Daphnia pulex: one gene and its partner. The protein of the gene in region 1 purifies or fractionates together with the protein of each later gene. This does not show direct contact. Links are inferred from orthologs where the notes say so. Each region holds a gene or a part of one and is shown in the gene's direction. Other genes may lie near its edges.

Evidence for each region.
Region 2: the proteins of U3 small nucleolar ribonucleoprotein protein IMP3-like (region 1) and U3 small nucleolar RNA-associated protein 25 homolog purify together in Homo sapiens (affinity purification with mass spectrometry; 3 studies listed by BioGRID and IntAct, with this or other methods). This does not show direct contact. The link is inferred for Daphnia pulex from reciprocal best matches to the Homo sapiens genes IMP3 and UTP25.

What each region holds. Positions count from the first base shown.
Region 1 is NC_060021.1:8,086,558-8,089,608, forward strand, and holds U3 small nucleolar ribonucleoprotein protein IMP3-like, read left to right. Parts: upstream 1-1,332; 5' UTR 1,333-1,493; intron 1,494-1,554; 5' UTR 1,555-1,591; coding exon 1,592-1,728; intron 1,729-1,791; coding exon 1,792-1,899; intron 1,900-1,957; coding exon 1,958-2,164; intron 2,165-2,231; coding exon 2,232-2,304; intron 2,305-2,367; coding exon 2,368-2,391; 3' UTR 2,392-2,447; downstream 2,448-3,051. Other genes in the region: transcription factor VBP-like, read left to right, coding at 1-415, 474-542, 623-745; uncharacterized protein LOC124194159, read left to right, coding at 2,693-2,833, 2,896-2,959, 3,025-3,051. UniProt on the Homo sapiens protein: Component of the 60-80S U3 small nucleolar ribonucleoprotein (U3 snoRNP). Required for the early cleavages during pre-18S ribosomal RNA processing. Part of the small subunit (SSU) processome, first precursor of the small eukaryotic ribosomal subunit.
Region 2 is NC_060023.1:10,108,940-10,113,263, forward strand, and holds the start of U3 small nucleolar RNA-associated protein 25 homolog, read left to right. Parts: upstream 1-1,420; 5' UTR 1,421-1,595; coding exon 1,596-2,746; intron 2,747-2,807; coding exon 2,808-3,021; intron 3,022-3,094; coding exon 3,095-3,232; intron 3,233-3,293; coding exon 3,294-3,366; intron 3,367-3,434; coding exon 3,435-3,820; intron 3,821-3,881; coding exon 3,882-4,076; intron 4,077-4,161; coding exon 4,162-4,324. Other genes in the region: WD repeat-containing protein 20-like, read right to left, coding at 1-196, 280-494, 566-1,060. UniProt on the Homo sapiens protein: Component of the ribosomal small subunit processome for the biogenesis of ribosomes, functions in pre-ribosomal RNA (pre-rRNA) processing. Essential for embryonic development in part through the regulation of p53 pathway.

The sequences.
Region 1 (3,051 bases):
CAACGTTCCCGTGAACTTAAGCATGTCGTTAAACGACGAAAGAAGTGAAGTTACCAGCTCGTCATCGTCGGCCGACGATGAATCGCCCGCTGATTTGTCTAGTCGCAGTCATCACCAACGTGAAGATTCGCCGATTCCGCCATCGTATCAACATCATCCTGACTCATCACAGCTAATGCATGCTATGGCGGCTGCTTTCTCCTTCCAGCGGGATCTGATGGCGCAACAAAACAAGTCTGACCATCTTAATCAATCAGATGCAACAAGTCCGGCCTCACCTGCTGATCCTTCTCACCTGGTTGCCAAAGCCTTGGCCTCGGCCACCACGAGAAGGCCGAGGAGTGAGAAGAAACCTATTCCCGATGATTTGAAGGATGGCAAATATTTTGAACGCCGACGTCGGAATAATCTTGCAGTAAGTGATCTATAAAAATTTCCAAATTACAGAATTTTAAAATTATCTTTTTCTGAAGGCTAAGAGATCTCGAGACATGCGGAAAAACCGTGAGGATCAAGTTACAGTTCGCGCCAATTTCCTTGAGGTAGGATTTAATATCTAGTAAACAATTTCACTGGTTATTCATACTTCAATTTGAGTGTTTTTTATTTTGTAATTTGACAGAAGGAGAATTCGGTCTTGAGAGCTCAAGTGGCCACTTTGAGAGACGAAGCATTCGCCTTGAAGCAAATGTTATTGCACAAGAACGCTTCCGCCATTCTCCGTAGTCAAGCTGCCACCAGTTGAGCTTACGTTGTGGGGAGAACAAACAAGAACTTTGTCCACGTTATTGTTTTTACCTTTATATTTACCAATGCTAATCCCTCCTGTTTAACTGATTTCTCTTTCGGTTTCAATCCATCACGTCTTTTATTTATCATTTCTTTTTTAGACGTGCTCGTCTGCTATCAACCGACTAAGCTTCACAGTGCCAAAAATAAACGAAATAGAAATCAGTTTTTCTCTTGTCGACAATCTTTCAATCATGACCATCCGTCCTTGATTTTTTTTTAAATATTACACAGTTACCCACATGTTGAATACATTAAACAAAGTCCTTGGTGAAGACATCTTTTATCAAGAAACTCGAGTCAAAACTCAGAATCAGTCCTAAATGGAAACGTCGCATGTTTTAACAATGTTTTTTATGTTGGAAAAAACAGGAATTTACGTGGAAGCATATGACGCATATTTTTAGTTTTAATACAAGCTAGCTGTTGGCGATGCACTTTGAAATAATAAATATTTAAAAATAAGAACGAAGGGCTCGAATATTAGATTGTAGCATGCTGCCACCTAGTACTTTGTTTAACTATTAAAGAGAATTCAGCAGCCACACACGTGTGAGATTTCCGTCGTCTGCAAGTTGTCTTTTTTTGTCTGCTGTTTGTAGTTTGTATCAAACTTTTCGTGCGTTTCGCGAGGGGATTGCAAGGTTTAGCAGCTTTATTCTTCAATAATTAATTTCGAAATCAGCAACACATCTCTGTTCCAGGTAGAGTACAACGTCATAGAAATAAACTCATCGATTTTTTATTATAAGAATTAACTCATAGGATTTCTGTGCAACGTCTGAAAAACTAACAAAACAGAATGGTCCGAAAACTAAAGTATCATGAACAGAAATTGTTGAAAAAAGTAGATTTCATCTCCTGGAAGCTTGACAACAATGTTCATGAAGTGCAAATTCTTAAAAGATACAGAATTCAAAAAAGAGATGATTACACAAAGTAAGTGGATTTTAAATGACAGATTTCTTAAGAAATCATTTTGACGATGTATCTTAATTGCAGGTACTGCACACTTGTAATGCATGTAAAAAAGTTGGCAAACAAGATAAAGGAGCTCGACCCCAAAGACCCTTTCAGAGTGGAGTGCAGCGCTGCTCTTTTGGAAAAACTGTACAATTTTGTTTTCATATAATTTCTGAAGGTTACTTGACTGTTATCTTAAATTTAGATATTCCATGGGTTTAATTCCAACCAAGTGGTCCCTTGATCTTGTTTCCAAAATAACAGCATCCTGCTTCTGTCGAAGAAGACTTCCTGTGGTCATGGTTAGGGCAAAGATGGCAGATTCCATCAAAACTGCAACTACATTTGTGGAACAAGGACATGTCAGAGTTGGTCCTGAAGTGGTAAAAGACCCAGCATTTCTTGTTACCAGGTACTTATTAAAACTTTTCAATTATTGATTGCATATAAATGACTCAGTTACTTTTTTTATGAATTAGAAATATGGAGGATTTTGTGACCTGGGTAGACTCCTCAGCTATTAAGAAACATATTATGGAATACAACGAGATGGTAATAATGATCATTATTGCAATTTTTTAAAGAAATTAATCAATTTCATTCCTTCTATTTCAGAGAGATGATTTCAATATGGCTTGACTTGTTTGACGAAATGCAACTTGTATGGAAATACATCCCGTTTTCTATCTACTAAATATCGCTCATTTCCTGTCATTTTTAGAATAAAATTAATTCATTGAGTTAGATAAGTATACATTCTAGTTCAAACTTCTCCTCTGAGGTTAATGGGGTTTCCGTAGTGCTTCAAAGGGGGGGAAAACCACGGTTAATCTTAAAGGCTCAAACATTCATCGACACGGTAGGTTATTACTAACCCTTAACCGGAAAATTTATACAGTTTTCCATTCACTTTTGATTGAATCACAAGTGTCAAGGAAACATGGCTGCCAATATGTCCTTCATTTTTGTTTGCTTAATATTCATTCATCTAGTTTATTCAGGATTACCTTTTAGATCCAAAAAATTCAACAGGCAATCGAAAAGTACATTGCGGAATTACCAAACTGAATTCTTTAACGAGGTAATGCTCATGCATTTATTACGTTTATATGAAATTGTAATACGTTTCACTAAATTGTCAAGGTTTTCCAAGACCATTGGGACCGTAAAATGAGAACTCTTGATCCAAAAGCAAATAAGAGTTTGTGTATTTTATTATTCTCCCAATTTTATAATGGAGTGATATAAAATGTGTTTTACTGTAAAATTCAGCTGCTACTTGTGACGCCAAAGCAATTG
Region 2 (4,324 bases), on another chromosome or scaffold:
GCCGGCCACTACCAGCTGCCCGTCGGGTGACCAGCAGACGCAGAGCAAGCCGCCGAAAAAGGATGTTGCCAGTCCGATCAATTCCATGGCATCATAATTGAGAACGCGCAGACACCCATCCTGCGACACAACCGCCAAGTATTTCGAGCAAGGTGAGAAGGCAAAGTCGTTGATGGCGCCGTTTCCAATCACCCACCTAACAACCAAATATGGGGTTAGATGGGAGGAGTCTTTAACCTGATTTTATTAATGATTAAAAATGAAATGATGAATAATAACCTGTAAATGGGATTCCGAGTGCTTTTGGCTTTACAAGTCCAGACCGAAAAACCGGCCCCCTGCTTAAAAAGTTGATAGGTCGGAGGTGCTGGTCCACCACACGTCACATCTTCACTGTACAGATACATCTGTCCCGAAACATGAGAAACTAGGAACAAATTGGGGGAACCTGGCAGCCACTTGATACATGTTACTTTCGTCTTTTCAATTATTCTCTGAAGGAAAAAATAAATAATGTTATTGAAATTCCATAAATTTATAAAGAAAACAGAAAATCTCAAGAAACCTCTTCATTGTAAAGTTTTCCTATTTCTTTCCTTATTGGATCTACTAATTGGATTTGTCCGCCAGTGAAACCAACTAGAAGCATAACACTTTCACTGCTGATTGTTAATTTATTGATATCATGGCAAGTGGGGCTGGTTCCTTTGTAAATCCTTTTATCAACAGGCTTGGACAAGTCTGCTGGTTTCTTGGTTCCCTTGTAGGTGTAGAAGTAGAGTTCCCTTCCATAGTTGAAACATATGCGGTCACAAAAACCTGATGGATCAGATGGTAGAGACACAAAAGTAACCCTAACTGGAGGGTTTGAACCTTGACCGAGCGCAGCTCCTTGCTGGCTTTGGATGGCAGTGTAACCAGACAGCCGATTTGCCCTGGAGTATTCGGCTAATGTTATCAACTTATATACTCCCTCTCTGGTTGTGAAATGAGTTCGCACATCGTCCCGGCTGCTGTTTCCACTTACACTACCACTGTTCAGATCCGTTTGCCCAGCCATCGGTAAACAACAAACGATCCAAAAACACAAACAATAATAACCAAAACTTTGATTATTCAAACATGTCGGCTCCACCGTTTAAACAACGGTCTTCCATCGTGACGGCACCGATAATTTTACATTCGAAGGCTTTATTAAACAGTGAATCAGTCTATATATAAGCAGGATTGCTACCTGTCAACTTTTCCGGTAAATAAACTAATTTTCACTGGTGATGTAGAATTCCCTGATAGCAGACGCCCGCCATTTTGGTTGGTGATTTTTGGTTGCCATGTTGGCAATTTATATTTTCAACTTTAAAGGAATCATTTAATTTAATTTATAAAATAAAAAATATGAATAAAATAAATAAATATATTTAAATAAATATATTTTTGATACATTTTTGGCAGCACACTATTAAATTGTAATTAATCAACTGTGTTGTTCTTGCAACTTTGGACGTCTGCAATCAAAGTTTTCATTTTGACACGTGCATTTGAGTTTGAGTTTTGATTTCAGATAAATTAAATTCGAACGTTATTTTGTTCTTAAAATGGGACGTGGACGACGAGGAGGGCCTAAACGTGGCAATTACAAAAACCACGGTTCCCGTGGTAACAAATCGACTCGTGGTGGAGGTAACTTTAAAAACAAAAGGAAATTTAATCAAGATAGAGATGGAAAAAAAGATGACACTTCTGAAAGTAAAAGACAAAAGCTTCAACAAGAAAAAGAGGCTGTGCCTATTATCGAAGAAGAATCATCTAGCAGTGAATCAGAAGAAGAAGTCAAACCTTACACACAGCTGCTGTCGATGTTTAAATCCAGTAGTAGAGCACAGCAAGTTTTGACATCTGATGAAGAACAGTCAGATGAAGAGGAAGCTGAAGATATCAATGACCAATCTAATGAAGATGACATTGGCAGTGAAGAAGAAGATTCAGCTCAAGACGATGAGGAAGTAGGAGAAGAGGAAAGTGGTAGTTCAGTTGGTGTTGCTGAAGAAATTGACGAGGAAAATAGTATACATGAAGATCTTGAAGTTGAATCAGAGGAAGAAGAACATTCTGGTGATGAAGAAGAAGAAACATTATCTACGGATCCCTTCCACCTTCATTTCGACAGGGAAATAAATGAAAACCTTTTAGAAATCCTGACATCACCCAAGCCTTATGAGACTCAAGAACTGAAGTGGAAAGTTCTTGGAAGAATGGTGGTTCACCTGCCAACCAAACCTGAAAAAAACACAAGTCAACCAAAGCCTACATTACTAGGTGAAACAATAGAAAGTTATGTCATTCCTGGTAGTCTACCTGTATTGAAAACTGGAATCCCCTTGAGTGAATACGGTGTTAAATTGCAATTATGTTCCAACCTTGATACGAGGCCACTCTCGGACAACAAACAAACGGCTGAAGAACTGCTCTCCCCATTACAGCATGAGCTTTTCACTCTCGCAAATGAATACCGCGACGTTTATTATCCTGAAATGAACCATTTAAACAATGACGAGATTAGAACAGTTTACTGCCTTCACTCGTTGAATCATGTAATGAAATCGAGAGACAAAGTTCTTCTTCACAACGCCAAATTGAAAAAGGCCAAAGAAAATGGCGTTGCGACCGATGAAATAGAATATAGAGATCAAGGATTAGTCCGTCCTCGAGTTCTAATTATCGCTCCTCTCAGAAACTCTGCAGTGAAGTAAGTTCAATCACAGTTTTGATACATTTTCTTTGCTAATTTTTAACTATTTTTGTTTCAGGATCGTGGAGAAATTAGCTACATTGTTGCTTCCTGCAAAAGGACAAATTATCAATAAAGATCGTTTCTATAAAGAGTTTGGTGAGGAAAAAGATGACGAGGGCAAAGCAGAGACGAAAAAGAGCTACAAACCAGAAGATTTTGAGGCGGTATTTACAGGAAACACGGACGATTCTTTCAGGATAGGCATCTCTGTTGCCAAACGTACTCTCAAGGTAAACCACAACCAAACTCCATGGAATTACATTTATTTTGATCAAATGTTTTTTTCTGTGTAACCTGTATTAGCTTTACGCTGGGTTCTACAAAGCCGATATACTTATCGCATCTCCTCTGGGAGCACGCACGCTACTTGCCGAAGACTTTGACTTTCTCTGTAGCATCGAAGTGCTCGTGATTGATCAGACGGATGTTCTTTATATGCAGGTAACATTTCTTGTTAAATTGTATTGAGGTCAACCAACATCTTTTTTTCCTTGTTTATCAGAATTGGGATCACGTTCTGCATATTTTTCAACATTTGCACCTTCAACCACGAGAACAGCATGACACGGACTTGGGTATGATTTGAAATCGTTCTTTTATTATTGGTCTGCAGTTTTTCAACGCAATAAAATTGTGCGTGCAGGTCGTGTCCGTCTTTGGGCGCTAAACGGTTATTCTGCTCACTACAGGCAGAATTTAATTTTTAGCAGCGTAGCGCTTCCCGAAGCTGCGGCGCTCTTTTCCCGTCGTGGAACGAATTTTGCGGGCAAAGTACGCATAGAAAATGCAGTTACAGCATCATCGACAACTGTTTGCAGAGTACTTGTCCAGCTGCCTCAAGCATTTCACCGATTTCCTACGCCAACAGCGGCCCAGTCAGCCGACGATCGTTACCACTTTTTCACTAAAAAGATCCTGCCGCAGTATCGCGACCAGATAATGAGTAATACACTCATTTACATTCCTTCGTATTACGATTACGTAAGATTAAGGAATCATCTTCACAAGGAAGATTACAACTTTGGCCAAGTAAGCAAAAAAATGTTTCTCCTCTAACGGTGACGTCATTAATTTTCTTGCGTGTTTTCAGGCATGTGAATACACGCCAGACGGAAAGCTTGCGCAAGTCCGTAATCGTTTCTTTCTCGGCAAGAAGCGCTTGCTACTTTACACAGAACGATTACATTTCTACCGACGGCTCACAATGAAAGGGATTCATCACATCATTTTCTACCAATTACCAACTTATCCCAATTTCTACCCAGAGCTGTGCAACCTTCTTCAGGTAACCCTAATTCCATGTTATTATTAATTTAACCTTGTGCTTCATTTTTCTTCGCTTTCTCCTTTTTTTTATTTTGTGTAATCAGGACGCATTTCAAAATCCCAAGTACAGAGGAGATGGCAGTCAGACTTGTACAGTTCTATATTCAACCTTTGATGCTCCGAGACTTGCTGGAATAGTAGGAAGTCAACGAGCTGCTGAAATGTTGACGTCAGATCGACCTGTGCATCTATTTGTTAGCGGAGGAA